2 linked regions of the Rhinolophus ferrumequinum genome follow. The protein of the gene in region 2 interacts with the protein of the main gene of each other region in a biochemical or structural test. Links are inferred from orthologs where the notes say so. Each region holds a gene or a part of one and is shown on either strand. Other genes may lie near its edges.

Region 1 (7,782 bases), on a different chromosome or scaffold from region 2:
GAACCCTTCCAAGCTACAGACACAGAAGAAAGCTATTCCTAATCCTCCTGTCTACAAGAGATTGTTCTGTGGGCTTAGGAGACCTAGGGTGCAATCAGGTACCATTGCCTTATGGCCTGAGACAATTCCTCAAGTTTGTCTCATCTTAAAATGGGGAGAATACACCTTCCCAGGTGGTTTCCAGGCTCCAATAATGTGACATGCCAGTTCCTGTGCTGGACTCATACTGGGAGTGCCAAGTGAATAGTGATACTTTTTTGTTCCTTGCTTTGCATCTTCTAGTAGAAGTGATTCTCACATTACCCATTGTGCCCATTATACAGCCAAAAGAAACTGAGGCCCAGGGAGCTCCTGGAAGGAAGGAATAGCAAAGGCAGCAAGGTGCCCTGGGTGTCCAGGTTGAAAGACCTGAGCACTTTTTCTGCATGCCAGGCCTCCACAAAAGATGCCCCTCTTCAGATGTGAGCCCCTCCTCCAGCTGAAGATTCCCATCACCATTCCCTGGGGACCGAGACACCCTCAGGCTTTATCTTTTTGTCTGTACTTTAAGTTACTTCTAATTTTAATTTAAACTCCAATTAGCTGTGCCAGCTAAATGGTGTCAGTGCCCTGCAGTCACAGCTCCAAATCACCCCTCACCGCTCTCTCCACCACTGCTGCTGAGACTGGGGGGAGGGGTGTCATCATGTGGGATGAACAGGGCTGGATGCTGGGAGGGTTTCTGTCAGTCGTCTTCCCTCCCACAAGCTGCCTGGTCAAAGGGAAGGGAGGCAGACAAGAGACAGATTCCCCGGGAGGATACTGGGTTGGGGGACTATCTGGGCTTTTATTAGCCCCAGCTCCCAGGAGAATAGGGACCATACAACTGGGGGGAGGTGGTCACCAAATAAGACTTAGCATGTGCTGAGCTCTCACTATGGGCTAAGGCTGTGCTAAAGGACCTGTGACACAGGACCTCTAGTCATCAACTTTCTCCATTCCGCAGATAAGGCAAGAGATTTAGAGAAGCCTAGCTCTGGTCTCTTGCTCTTTTAAGCCCAGGTCTTCTCTGGGTTCAGAGTCCAAGGTCTTGGTCATGACACTACAAACCCCAAGACTTGTCCTCTGGTGTCTGGCAACTTGGGGGGGTAGAGGAAGGTGAGAAATGAAGGTCTCCCTACTCTCCCCAGGAGCCAGGGCCGGGCTAGAGCATGATGCGTGCACACCCACACACTGGGGCTCTCACCTTTCCTCCCAACACTGTCACCCCAGGGCACAGGCACCACACACCTTGTTTCATCCCCTCTTGCTCCTGACACCCACGCCCAAGCACTCTCAGTTCCCCACAAGCACAGTTACTCCCATAGCACACAGACTCACAGTTTCATACAGTCAGACTGTGAGTGTCCCACCAGTCATAGGCCCACACCACGTCTTGCTCCCTGCTCCGGTCCTGTCATACACCAGATCCCATACAACACCCTACAGCCAGGTATAGCTGTCCCAAAACCTCCACATCACACACACACACACACACACACACACACTCACACTCACACTCTCTCTCTCCACAGCTGCCCTCTGCTGGCCTGTCCACCACACCCCAACTCAGTTCACAGCAGGAACAAGGAAACCTGATGGAACAGTCCCCTCTCTTGGTGACTTGGTCAGCCTGATCACAGTGGCTCAGTAGCAGAGGGAGAGGAAGCACAACATGTGAGTGTGTGTGCGTACACGCGCACACACACACACACACGCACAACACACTCAGAAAGACACACACATGAACCTGGTGGGCTGGAACCCTAATACCGGGGCTCCCACAATTAACAGCTTGAATATACTCATGGGCCAGTGGGTCACCACGACACACCCAGTGCAACATAGGACCCTCCAAACACACAGGGATGTATACACATAGTTGCAAAGGGCACACAGAGCTTCAGAACACCCAAACAGATACACACAACACACACACACACACACACACACACAGAGGCAAATCATACATGAGAAACAGGACTCACAGGGGCAAGCTCCAAACACAGCGACAAAGAACACCCAAGCGGACACAGACACACAACATACTTACACGCTTAGACATACAAGCGACCCAGCTCACGAAGACAGGATCCATACATACAGGGCAGGGGCCAGAGGAGAAGGGGGTCAGCCCTCCACTCACAGCAAATCCTTCTGATCAGCTTTAAGTGGGGGCTCAGTGGGGGAGGTGGGAAAGTGGGGCACTTCTGAAGGTGCCCACCTTCTTCACCCCACTTTCCTCCACCGTCTCCCCTCACCGGTCTGGGACCCCAAAGGCGTGGTGTCTGGATTGCGGAGGGGCCTGGGGCAGACAAGTCCTTGAACAGGCCACCAGGGTAGGGGGCTCAAAGGAGCAAAAGGGCGAGACGGGAAGGGGAGGGTGATGGAGACGAGCCACGCCCAGCCCGGAGACAGATGGAGAGACCGAGAGACACAGAGACTGAAAGGAGATAGAGCGAGGAGGAGGCACCGCGCGGGCGGGGCTGGGACCCAGGGCCGGGAGGCGGGAGGCGAGGCCCGGCGGACCGCCAGGCTTGGGCCGCGCTGTAGAAAAGGAGAGGCGGCGGGACAGGCTAGGGGCGGCGAGCGCTGGCCGGGGACGCGGCTCCCGGAGGACGAGATCTAGGGGGCGGCGGGGGATGGGGGTGGGGCGAAGGGGCATGCGAAGGGTGAAAGACAGACAGAGACCAGGGAGAGGCGGACGGGGGGAGGGGGTGGGGACAGATGGACGGACAGAGGGCCCCAGAGATTCGGGAGGGACGGGTGGACTTTCGAAGGAGATGGGGACACAGGCGGGTAGTGGGGCTGGGAGCTGACGGACAAGAGGGCCTCGGCCCCTACCGTTGAACCGAGGGACAGACAGACGGGGGTACGGAGGCACCGGCGGGTCCCGGGGCGCGGCGACACTTTCGCTGGCGGCGGATCAGTTTCTCAGTTTCGGAAACGGGAACCAGAGAGGGGAGGGGGAAGGGAGGGGCAGCGCGCCCTCGGGGTAGCTCGGATCCCACGTTTGGAACCGGCCCTCACTCACCTCCAAGCGCAGGGCCAGGCGCCAGGGGTCGCGGCAGCTGGGGTCCGGCTCCCGGCGCGGCTCCTGGGCGTGCGCTCAGACGTGGGTCTTGGTGGGGCCAGACCCGGACGGGCCCGGCGGCGGGTGAAGTACCGTCCCCGCCTCGGCGCGACCGGCGGGTGCCGGGGGTCGCTCCGGGGATCCCAGGGCCGCCGCCTCCCGCGCCGCTGCACACGGAAGTACAAGGGGGCGGGGCGGGGCGACCTCACCCAGGTGCCGGCCCCGGCCCGCCCCCGGATCAGGGCCTGCCCCTCGAAGGCCCGCCTCCGCGCGCTGGAGCCGGGGTCCAGCATCTCTGCCTCTGCTCGAGTCACTCAGTGTCTGGGCCTCTCTGCCCTCCCCTCACACCTCGACCCCGGTCTCCCATCAGCTCACGTACCAGCCCTTAGAGGGGGCCGCATCATACAGAGGACGCTGAGGCCCGACGGAGGGGGCGTTACCTCCGCCCCCACCCCAAAGCACGCAAGCCGGGAGGCGCCCGCGGGGGTTCCCCAGATCCCGGCGCCCACGCCCGGGACTCCCCACCAGCCTGCTGGCCAGTCACGCCAGGCCTCTCTCTTTCTCTTCCTGTTGACTGGAGTGCAGACGCGGCGGGGCTCGGTGCCCGCCGCCAGGCCGGCTAGTCCCGGCCCTGCCCCTACACGAGCTGGGAAGACTCCAGGGCGGGAGGCTCTAGCTGGTCTGCGGCTGGTCAGACCCTTCTGAGAGCGATCCCTAACCCGATGCCCCAGTGGTCCGCTCTCCCGGCCGGGCTTTCCAGAGCTCTCCATCGCCCCGGGTAGGCGCCTAAGCTTCCTTTCCAGACTTGGAACTTGGCTGTCAGGCATAACTCATTCATTCGTTCGTTCATTCATTCATTCACTGAGTATTCCCTGGGCTGAAGTCTGGAGACGGAGTGGGGTCCAGGGAGTCCATTTCCTCTGCCTCCAAAGCTCAGAAAGTCAAACCGCTGGCTTTGTACTCCAAAGAAATGCCACTTTCCAGAGGCATAGAAGAGGGTTCCGGGTCTCAGGCCTCCTGCGGTAACCTCTAGAGGGGATGAGAAGAGTCCAGACTGCTCTTCCCAGCTGAAGAGTAAGGGATGAAACTCGGGGTGGGAGTGGGGCAATCCTGAGGAGGCCTGAGCTGGCTTTAGTCTTCTCAAGGAGCAGGTGGTGGCAGCTATTACAACGGATTGCGCTCCTGGGGCGATCATAGGACAGAGGGGAAGGAGAAAGGAGGGGGCTGGATGGGGCAGAAGGGCTGTCACATTCTTCAGGTGGGAAGACCCTGGGTTGGGTAAGATGGGTCCCTTACAGGGTTGTGTGAATAGCGGGTGGGGATGTTGAGAACCCTAAGAGAGATGTGGATCCTGAAATTCTGTTTTAAGTGTGTGCAGGCGGGGGCAAAGGGAAGTGTCTGGACTGCAAAGAGAAAAACTGCAATGACTCTTCCCACCACAGAGAGAGGGGGGCCCTGGTGCCCTACACCTGGGAAGGAAGACCCAGCTTTCCACCAAGCTGGACTGCTCTCACCACACTGGACTGTCATTTGGGAAATAGGCATTATGCCTTACCTCACAACCAAACCTTTGAACATGCTGTTCCCTGGGCCACGATGCCATTTCCCACCCACCCCCATATCTCTACCTGTCTGGGTTGTGATCACTTAAATGCTTCTCTCCCTGAGCCCAGCTGTGAATCCATGGCATTTCCCTGAGCTAAGGAACTGTATTCCTATGTATTCATTAGCCTGTTTTGTGTCCTGGTCTCCCCGCCCCAATCCCATGACTTCCCTGGGGTTGGGCTGGAGAAAAAGGTGAGTCAAGGTGACTCCAGGTGACTTTTGCCCACCTGGGATCAAGTTTCCTTTCTGGCTCCTCCCTCCAGATCCAGTGGCCAACCCAGCCTCTCCCACAACATCAACAATAGGCTGACCCAGTGCCAGAGACCACCGAAGGGGAGGGCTGACCCATGGGGAGCTCCAGGTTCTGCCACCAGACTTTTATTCCCACACCTTAGGTTCACCTTGGAAAATGGAAAGTAAGAATAATGGCTATCACTGACGGAGCTTCCCTGGTGCCAGGCCCTTTGCTGGATACTGAATGTGTGAATCTGTTTGGTCCTCAAGACCCTTTAAGATGAGGGCCACTATTAGTGAGTGCCACTTTTGGTGATGGGCAAATTGAGTCTTTCAAAGAGAGATAAAGCCCCTTGGTGAAGGGTACACAGCTAGTAAATGGCAGAGGCAGAATTCCAACTGGCTCCAAAACCCATGTTTTAGTTCAGGAGTTCTCAATCTCAGCGCTACTGACTTTCGGGCCAGATAACTCATTGTTGTGGGAACTGTCCTGTGCATTGCAGGATGTTTAGCTGCATCCTTGGCCTCTACACTAGATGCCAGTAGCACATCCTCAAATTGTGACAGATAAAAATGTCTCCAGATACTGCCAAATATCCCCTCGGCGCCAAAAATCACCCCTTGTTCAGAACCATTGCTTTAGAGTGGGGCTGGTGTGACAGGAGCAAGAACGATTTAAATTAGACACCAGGAAGCACTTTCCTGGCCCTCAGGATTATAGAGCCCACACTATGATGAGGGCAGAGGAGGGATGCAGGTGGGCTTCCCTCCAGAATCAAACTGTGGGACCAACAGTCCCAGGGAGAACAGGCATTTGTGGGGTCCAGGAATCCAGGTCAAGCTCAGCTGGAGCCACTCTGCATGCTGGAACTGCTCTTAGGTGCCACACTGGGTGGGCCAGTGCAAGATCCAGATGAGCTTGCCTTTGTGCCCCCATAACCTACCTGGACCCAACCTTAGATGGGCCTGCTGAGGCCTGGGTGCAAACCTTGGCTGTGTGACAGCATGCTAATTGTATGATCTTGAGCAGGTGACAACACCTCTTTGATCCTGAGTCCTCAACTGTGAAAGGGACTGATGACAGACCCATGTCAGGGGTTGAGTAAAAGGTGAGGTGAGACGATATGTGTGGACACCCATTAAGGGCTCAGCTCACATTGGCCAGGTATGGTCACTTTGCTGAGTCACAGGCTGTCAGCCTTGGAAGAGCCCTCGATAGCCTCTTGTGACATGGGGCATAAATCTCCAAGTAGGGCTAGGCCCATAGCAGCCACCCAGAAGTGGTACTTTCCCTTTCTCCTCCTCCAGGTTTGCTGCAAAGGAAATGGGCCCATCAGGGGTAGCACTGGGTAGTGTTCAGACTCCTACCCCAGCATCCACACAGAGCTGTTCCTCTGGGGCTCCCTGGAGGGTTTGTCCAGAGGAGGGTCAACCTGCAACTCCTACTCCACCCAGAGGCCATGAACCTGGGGGCCTCCCCCCACCAAGCCCCTCTACAGGTAGTTCCAGATTCAGCCAAGCAACCTGGAAAAGGCCTGGACCTCCCTCTATCGCTTGGGCCTGCCCAACTATGGGCAGGATAGGGTCCCCCACTTGATCCCTGTGTAGAATTGGTCCTTGTCCTGGCCTTTCTGCCTCTTACTCTCTGTTTGTGCTTCTCTGTATTACCATCCCTGTCCCTGAAGCTTTGGCTGCCAGCACCATCCCCATCACACCCAGAGCACTGGCCTGGCCAAGGGAGAGTGAGCTCATGTTTCCGGAGAAGGAGGCGCAGGCCAGCAGGGATGGTGTGCCTGAGTAACTGCTGGGGTAGCAGAGCCTTGGAAGGTCCCACTGCGGATAGAGCAGGAGAGAAGGGCATTTGGGACATGGTCCAACCAGTCAGTGGCCATGCCTCAGGCCACCAAATGGTCACGAGCAAGGATTTCGGCTTTGGGCACTGGATAGGGGGCAAGTGAGGGCAGTGACTTTGGGGGCAGTGCCACATGGTAGGGAAGTGCCAGGCCAAGGGGCTGCAGGGTCCAGGTTCACATCCCAGCTCTGCCGTGGACCTGTGACTTAACTGTGCCTCACCTTCCTCATCTGTGGATTGGAGATAATAATAGTAATACAGTGGTACCTCGGTTTTCGAACATAATCCGTTCCGGAAGAACGTTCGAGTTCTGAAACGTTTGAAAACAGCCAACAGCTAGGCTTCAGGATCTTGCACTCAGCAGAAGCTGCATGACATGTTCGACTTCTGAGGCGTGTTTGAAAACCGAAGCATTTACTCCCGGGTTTATGGCATACATAAACCGAAATGTTCAACGGAGACATTCAAAAACCGAGGTACTACTGTGTTGTCCTGATGGTTTGTTGAGAGGATGGAAGAGATCAAGCTCATGAAGCTCTGGTGCAAGGCTCAATCTATGTTGGTGTAACTGCCAAAGAGTTGGTCCTACCCAAGTTCCGTCCGGGGCTCATTTGTGTTTGAGTGAAGCTTGAGAAATACTTGGGTTAGACAAAGGGAAGGTACTTTCTGGGAGTGCAGGGCACAGATCTTTCCTGGGGCTCCCACGGAGGTGTGCAGCCCCCAGACTGCCCCAGTCCTACACTGACCACTGCACAACCCCTGCCCCTCTGAGTCCCCTCTTCTGGCTTGCCTAACCCGCAGCCCCGCAAAGAGGTTTGAAGGAGAGGCAGTTTGGGCGTTGGTGGTGTGCCAAGGGGCAGTCACGGAGCGACAGCTATCCCGACGCACACAGACCCAAGGGATTCCCCACGCAACAGCACCCCCTCTGCTCTGATCTGCCAGGTGTCACACTCGGTCTGACACCTGGGAGCCGAGGAGCTCAGTCAGCCACAGGGCGGGG
Region 2 (8,737 bases):
AGAAGACACATTTTCAGGTCTTTGCTTAAATGTCAACGTATCAGGAAAGGCTTTCTCGCCACCTTATTTAAACCGACACCATCTCTCATCCTGGAAAACACTATCCCTATTTCTGATGCATTTATCTCCATAGTACTTACCAACATCTAATCTACCACCACACATTTTCTTTTTTATTTTGAATATTGTTTTCCCCGCATGAAGGAAAGGATTTTGGGGGGTTTTGTTCACTGCTGTATCTCTAGAACAGTGCTGGGCATTTAGTAGGTATTTAGTAAGTATGCCATTTAAATAAATCTGTACTTTTATCAAATAAATGGAAAACATTTATTTTATTTATTTAATTAGATTTACTTTAGGACAAATAGTAAGAACACTCCCAAAATTGTTCTCTTACAAATCACAGTCCATTTGTAATTTAACTCAAAGAATTTTAAACTGGTACTTTATACTTTATGATTTATAGGGTAAAATGAAGTATTTTTGTTACATACCTTTTAAAGAATACACACACACAAACACACACGGAGAGAGGATGCCCAAAAATGTATACATATTTTAAGAAAGCAAAAAAACGTATTAATATATACCAATAACAGAAGATAAATACAAGTCACATTTGACTTCTGCAATTACAAGAGGTGCTCAAAGTGGTACTCCCATATTTATTTTTTCTTTTGTTTCCTGTGCCCGAAGGGATATATGTGTAAAAATATTACTAAGGGTAACGTCTGAGAATTTACTGCCTATGTTTTAGGAGTTTTATGGTTTCAGGTCTTACATTTAAATCTTTAAACCGTTTTGAGTTTATTCTTGTGTATGGCATAAGAAAGTGGCCCAGTTTCATTTTTTTGCATGTATCTATTCAGTTTTCCCAGCACCACTTATTAAATAGACTGTCTTTACCCCCAATGTAAATTCTTGCTTCCTTTGTCATCATTTAAATGGCCATATAGGTATGGATTTATTCTGTTGCATTGACCTATGTGTCTGTTTTTATGCCAGTATTGTGCTGTTTTGATTACTGCTGCCATGTAGTATAATTTGATATCAGGTAGCGTGATACCTCCCGCTTTGTTCTTATTTCTAAAAGAGATATATTTTCTTCTTTGCCAACTGCAAACAATAAATCTGGCAGAAAAAGTCTTAAATCTTAGTAATAGCTTTTAAAGATTGAAGAAACATTGTTAAATTTAATATGAAAGGATAAACTAATACTATCTCTTTGGATAATCGTAAGTCATTTTTTACATAGCAATTCTAAAGATTAAAAATTAAAACAAAAACTTGATTTAAGAAAGTCTTAACATTCATTAGGAAAACCATCACCACAGTGTAATTTAGGATTTACATCAGGCACATCTGACAATATTCAGAGTGGATATAAGCGAATCTTATCCTACCAGGCCTCTGAGGAAGGGGTCAGGATTTTCAAGCAGGGCATGGAAAAATGTATGCATGCCTGCTGGTGAATACATGTATGCAGGCACGAAGTCATGATTACTCCACAAATTTCCTTCCAAAGGGAAGTAATGATATGGTGGGACTAAAAAGCTAGTTACCATCACAAATACCAGAAGAAATGGACCCATGCCTACCCTTTTGGCACACTTTCTGTAGCAATTTTCCTTTCACTTGAAATCTGTTTTACCTGAGCAGAAGACTCCAAACCTGTGGCTCTCTCCTTCCCTCTTAGGTATGTAATAAGGATATGCCTAAAGCAAACATGCTAGCAGGAATGTCTGCAAGCAAAGGCTGCAAGAGCTCTTATTAGGCAACTGACCTCACGCAATTCACTTCCCTAACAGGATGGTTGTTAAGAGTGGATAAACTAGCACAGACACAGCACCTGGCACAGAGCATGCAATCAATAAATCCATGTTAACAAAACCAGAATCCATCTCATCTTCTCACAAAACATGTTACTGACACAAGGATTGGCATAACTGTCCCCCAATCACCAGGCTCAAATCCCAATTTTCAGGCTGACTCCTTCCTCTCCAGTCCCAAGATCTCCTACCTCCCTGCCTCCAACTCTATCTCCCAATCCAGCTGTCTGCTGCACACAGGTTGGACCACATCACTCTCTTGCTCAAAATTGCTAAGGTTTGCCCATTCCCAGGCCGATTTCCACTCCAAACTTATTTTCATCTATTCACAAAGCAACCTAGTCACCAAATTATCTATGGATTTTTGGCTACGCCCAACACTTCTGCTTTGCTCCAGCTGTCACTCACCCTTGAAAAGAGGGTCCCTACAGATTTCTGCCTTTCTAAATCCTACCAGTATTCAAAGGTAGGTACAAATGCCCCTTCTTCCATAAAGCTGTCAGAGCCTTACACAGAGATAATTAAGCTTTCTTTGACTTGTGTCTCATCGCATTCTGTGTCTATTAGAGCACCAGTCCCTGTCTTTTTTTATAAAGCTCAGTGATGTCTCTACCGCATGATGTAAGATCCAGAGTTGCAAGGACTATGCCTTTAAAAAAAATAAATAAATAAATATATAAATATATATATATATATATCCCCTCTGGACCCTGGACAGTGTTCTGCACATATAATGTAATCAATAAATCAACAATAGTTTGTTGAATTAAAATCTAGTATATTTCAGATTGCAATAGAAAGTAAAGGGCAAACCATATTACGGCCCAACAAGCCTCCTCATTAAGCAATACTGCATACTGTATTGTGCTAGAGGCTCAAGTCTTATTTATGTCCCATAAAAACCACCTCTCCAACCTATACAAACAACATCCAAAGCACAATCAACCACAAACTTATGTATCTACCCCCAAACTCTGGTATCAGTCAATTTTTTTAATTAAGATTAATTGTATTATTTGGGGGTTTGCAGGAACAAAACATCACTTTTATATTCTAAGAAGAAATTAAGCTCCTTCCTCCTTAAACCTAGATACATAATTAAGCTCCAAAGTCATGTACGCATTCATTCATTCCATGATCATATACTGACCTGTCACCTTATGCCCCAGCGAGGGGCAGGGTGGGAATTCAACCCAAGCAGCAGCTACACACAGCACTTCAGGTGTCAAGACTACTCAGTTTGCATGCACAGGATGCGACCTTCTTTCTAACTTAGCTCTCCAGGGGTGACCCACGGCAAATCAAAACTTTCTGTGAAAAGAAGATAACGTGACTGTGATGGAAAGGGGCGGGAAGGAGGGAACAGTGAGGGTAAATGGGGTCATAATTGCATTTTACAAGACATCTTTACTTCTAGAGCTCGACTGGCAGGGGCAACCGTGCCATCATCGAGAATAGCACCTGGGATTCTAGGAACGCGCGTTCCTTCCGGGATGACGGAATCACCTGGCAGCACGGCCAAGCCGATCGTGGCCCAGTGTCCCGCTGCCCCGCCCGGACGGCGCTGGTCCCAGCGCACTCCCACCTGGAACCTCACGCCCGCTCACTCTGCGCGACGGGTCGAGCAGGGATGGGCGAAGGCGCCTCTCTCGGGCGCACCCAGCCGCCTCTTCTCTGTCTGGGGTTTCACCCGCGTCTTCCCAAGTGCAGCCAGGCCTCTCCGAAGACTCTGCGCAGGAAAACGAAAGCACCAACCTAGAAAAAAGGCAGCGCCGGACGCCCCGCCTCCTCCGCCTCCACCAATCACTGGGGCTCCCGCACTCGGCCAATGGGACCCGGCTGTTCCGCGGTCGCGCCACCTCCCCCCGGGGTTGCTGCTTTGCCTACACGCCGGGTGCTTCCTTGGTCCCTACGTCAGTGACGCGAAGCTAAGCTCTGTGTTGCAACTTGACTGACTAGAGGTTATGGTTACACATTCTACAGCGCAATTAAAAGGAAGTTCTGTGTTTGTAAAGGCCCAAATTTGGCGATCTCTGCATTAGCTCCATATCTGAGAAACGGAGGCAGAGGACACAGGTTGGGGCATTGTCATTCTAGAAGCTCAACTTAGCAGCTGACTTCCGTGTAGCTAAACCCAGGGGTCGCTTTTCTGTTCTCACCTACTTGAACGCTCAGAAACCTTCTGCACAGTTAATGTCTCCATTTTTTTAACACCACTTTCTTGGCCATGATGAGAACACACACCTCTTCTTTGCTTCTTCCTACCTCTGTAGCATTCTTTCTCCATCTCTGCTCCACCTATACTACCAAGCCGGTCAATGTTAATTGTTGTCAGAGTCCTGTTCTTGGTCTGCTTTACCTACGTTTCTCCTTACGCTGCCCCGTGATGACCTCACCCACAGCGTCCCAATTTTCTTCAAGAGGTGGAGGGCTGCTGTATGTGTACCCTGTTCACACCTCCTTCCAAGTTCCACACCTGTGTACAGCCCCCACTTGACTCCCTTCTTGGACGTCCGGTAAGTTCTGCCAACTAGTGATGTTCAGAACCAACTCATCATCTTTCTCCTCAAACCTGCCCTCTTTCTAGAAATGGCACACGTGGGATAGCTAGGAGTTATTTTTGACATTGCCTTCTTCCTCACCCTGCACACCTCTTCCTCAAGCCTTGTTTGATTCTTCCTTCTAAATATTTCTCAAGTCTCCTCACTTCTCACTATCTCTTATGCCATCCCCCCTTTTGTCTCATTTAGATTACTGCTGTGGATTCCCAAATGGCCGCCACACTTCAGTTCTTAACTTTCTTTTAATTCATTCTCCCTACAGCAGTTTGAGGGATTCTATTTTTAATTGAAAAGCAAATTATGTGTTTGTCAACCTGAAAATCCTCTAATGGCTTTTCTTATAAAATTCAAATTTCTTAATATACCCTACAAAGAAAAGCACTAGCTCCCTTATCATTTTCTCTAACCCCATCTTGTGCCACTCTTTCCTTACGTCAGCATTTTTGTTCTTCAAATAAGCTGAATTATTTCCACAAACTCAGGGCCTTCTCACTGGCAGTTCTCCATTTGGAAAACCCTTTAAGCCATCACCCTCCTCCCCCAACTTTTTTGATGGCTAACTTGTCTTTTGTCTCAGCTAAAATCTCAGCTTAAATGTCACTTCCCAGGCAGGCATCCCTGAGGCCAGTCTAGATTAGATCTTCTTGGAATACATGCCCATAAAATCAGTTGGTTCCTTCAAGTAGATGGAATTTGACTCAAACCTTGAATAATAAGGCAACTTTGGGTAGAAAAAGGATCTAAATAATTTCCCAGAGATGTGCTTATGTATGTGTCTCCTATAGTTGTTTCTCCTCCACATCTATATACTCCTTCTTGTCACATGTTCAACCTCACAAAATTAGTACTGAACTGGTGATAGCAATGACCCTTGGTACGAAAGTAGCAGCCTTCTGTGAAAAGAGATGCTAAACTACCAAAAAGAGCCCTTCCCCTCCTACTCATCTGCACTAAGGGCCCAGACAATGTTTGAGAAAAGCTGACTCCAGGAAGGGTAGATAATATGTTTAAAATACCCTTTTTTCTGGTATTGTAAAATCTGTACATAGATTAGCTTTAATATTGATGGGGGGATTAAATAATCTTAGCCTATGTAAACAGGATGTTTCTCTTTGGCTCTCCACATTCTGGTTATCAGGTTCTAGGATCTTCCATCCCTATGGCTTTATTCTCCTTATTTTACAGTCATTGACAATACCCTGTCGTAGGCCTTCATCACTTCAGAACTGGAATGCTACAATAGACACCAGACTTCTTGCCTTTCCTGCTCCATTATTTTTTCCAAATTAAATTCTCGAAAACACCGTATTTATATAGTCATTCCCCACTGAAAAGCCTTGCCAAAGTTCATTGCATTTATAATAAACATAAACTGGTCTGGATCCTCCACAGAATGTCCCTACCTTTCTTTCCAGCCTTGTCTCCCATTGTCCCATTACCCAACTAAACTCTGTCCCCTGCTCTCCCCTCATGCTTTTAATTTTCCCGGTTCTGCTCCTTTGCACATACTACTGGCAAGTGTTGCACATACGGAATGACTAGTCCTGCCCCTTACTCCCTTCATTTATTAAATCCTAACTCAACTTTTAAAACCAAACCTAAATTCCATGTTCTCCTTCTGGAATCATGTGACCTGTGGTGAGCAATCTGGTCTCTGATATAATATGATATATAAGTGTCTCTATTTATGTTGACAATCATCACACACTCTCTTATATTATGGTTTTTGAAGTGTCCAAGTCTTATCCATCCAAGGTTCTAAGTTCCTGGGGGTCAAACTTTATGTATTTTATAAGTGTGACTGTTTAATATATTTACTGTTTCAAAAGCAACCAAATCAAAAAAACAAATCAAATAAAAAACTGGGGATACAAAAATGACAGACCCAAATATGAGATGGCCTCTTTAGAATAGTCAGCTTGGGAAGCTGTATCTCTATACCAACAACATTAACTTTGCAAAAGGCACACATCTAGGAAAAAAGTAGCTAATACCATGTCTGGTAGACTATATTATTTGTCAATATTTTTCTTTCCCTTCCCATTCTTTGTCATGGAGTTCTATGGATGCTTCTTTCCCTATGCCTTTATTCTTAGTTTTACAGTCATTGACAATATCCTGTTGCAGGCTTTGATCACTTTAGAACTGGAATGCTATAATAGACACTTCACTAAGTGTCTTCACTAAGAGGGAAGTGCACCTTCTTGTGCATTGACTCTAGCCTTGCTGTGTGACTTGTTCTAATAATGGAATCTGAGCAAATGTAACTCCACCGACCTAAGATTTTGCATGTTCTTTGTGACAGACTTGTTTTTGTGTGCTTCTTCCCTGCACTAGGAGACGGCAGGCTCAAGCATCTGCTGCTCCTCCAGCCAGAGTCCTGCAAGGAAAGATATGTGGAGTCACCTGGAGCAGAACTGCTGCAGCCCATCCATACACCCGTAAGGGAGACAGTGGGATGTGTTTGTTGTCGTTGTTGTAAGTCACGGAGGTATTTTTTATTTGTTTGTTTTGCCATTGAAATAGCTGACTAGTTCATAGGTGACAGAATCAAAATTTGAAATCATCTGAACAGGATAGAATGCTGCTAGGCTGAAACCAACTAGATAAAACTTAAAACAGGAAATGCTAAGATCTGTATGTGGGTTTTTTAAAAAGCAACAAACAACAGGGTACTCTTTGCTGCCAGTGGCCAGCTTCTGAATAGTACTCAACACTAGATCTAGTTGGTCACTAGCAATCAATCAGAAAAGGCAGGTAAAATGAAGCTTACTATTTGCCATCTGTCAACTGGTGTATATTCAAAGGAAAATCAAGGATGGTGAGGAGTCTAGAAACCACATTTTATGATGAGTAACTAAAGGCCCTGGAGTAACTCATAAATTCACACAACATTATAATGGAAAGGCTCTTACAAACCATGCCAGTCCTCCCATTTGGAACAAATTTATTTTTGCTTGGAGAAAAGGAGACAGTGTCATTTTTATTCTCCATGCATCCCCTCTTTTATTGTCAACCACCCACTTGTATTTAATTATATTTACAATAACTAGAAACATAAAGAATACAACGCAGACTACAAGCCAAAGTAAAAAGATATATATTAGCAGTTACATATTCTCATCATAAAATATTAGGAAGGATCTCCTGGTAGATTGTTTTCAACAATGGCTCCATTATTCCTTTTCCTGTATCCACACTCCTTTGCAATGTGACTCTGAGGCTCCTTCCAGCAAGAAATGGGGACTGTTTCTCCACTGCCCTAGCTTGTCAATTGCTTTGACCAATATTATGCAGCAAAAGTGACATTGTGTCATTCTGGGCCGAGGCCTCAAGAGGCCTTACACACACCACTCCCAGAACCCTGTTCTGCCTCCATGCAAATCGGTCTTGCCTGCTGCAGGATGAGAGAACACAAGCCACAGCTGAGTCCTGCAACTGTCAGGGTTTAGGCCTCAGACACGTGAGAGTGCCTCGGCAAGATCAGGTGGCCTGACCCGGATGAGCAGAACTGTCCAGCCTACCCTAGACGCACAAGCAATGATAAATGGTGGTTGTTTTACCCCACCGAGTTTTGGGGGTAGTTTGGTTTGTTATGCAGCAATAGATCATTGATACAGAGCTTATGGGGAGAAGCAAAACATCCTACTACTGAATTCTAAACAAACTTTCTCAAGTGGTGCAGGCCCACTGCCCTTCCCCGAACACGAATATTTTCTGTGGGGTCTCTCATCCCCCAGTAGTACACTAGCCAGTGTGTCCTTATCACAAACCCATGAAAAACTTACTAGCTTTGTGTTCTGTCTGTATGGCCTTGGTCTGTTTCAAAACGGCATCTACAAGTCTGATGAAAAAACCTAGAGTAATATGTTGAAAAACATTCCCTGTCCTTCCAGCAACCATATTGCATTTTAGACATAGTTTTTTCTAATGTTGGTAACCTAAATATCTAACAGTACAAATTCCACTTAATCAGTGTAAGTAAACCATATTTGTTAATCTGTAATATAATGGAAATGAAATGAAGGATTTGTAAAATTCCCTGCAGTTCTTTGGATTTTTTTATAGTCATGTGATAGAATATTAAAGTTATGCTTTCAAAGACTATTTAGTTACATTGGAAAATACTCACGTATAAAATTAAACTAAAATGCAGGATAGAACACATAGCATTATCCTAGTACTCTAAGAATATGTAGAAATGGAAATACATGGAAACACATTGAGACAGAGAGAAAGAAAAAGACAGGAGAGGGGGAAAATATTTTAAATGTTTCAGGGTGGTGGATTACATCTTTATAATTTTCTCTTTTTTTCCCAAAAATGTCTATAATGAGCACTATTATA

What was found.
Region 1: of the proteins of STAT1 (region 2) and PRKCD, one has a biochemical effect on the other in vitro, tested with the Homo sapiens proteins (2 studies listed by BioGRID). The link is inferred for Rhinolophus ferrumequinum from reciprocal best matches to the Homo sapiens genes STAT1 and PRKCD.

What each region holds. Positions count from the first base shown.
Region 1 is NC_046300.1:48,622,487-48,630,268, reverse strand, and holds the start of PRKCD (protein kinase C delta type), read right to left. Parts: upstream 3,289-7,782; 5' UTR 3,053-3,288; intron 2,886-3,052; exon of another isoform or gene 2,863-2,885; intron 1-2,862.
Region 2 is NC_046291.1:38,074,918-38,083,654, reverse strand, and holds the start of STAT1 (signal transducer and activator of transcription 1-alpha/beta), read right to left. Parts: upstream 3,593-8,737; 5' UTR 3,437-3,592; exon of another isoform or gene 3,291-3,436; intron 3,141-3,290; 5' UTR 2,980-3,140; intron 1-2,979. UniProt on the Homo sapiens protein: Signal transducer and transcription activator that mediates cellular responses to interferons (IFNs), cytokine KITLG/SCF and other cytokines and other growth factors.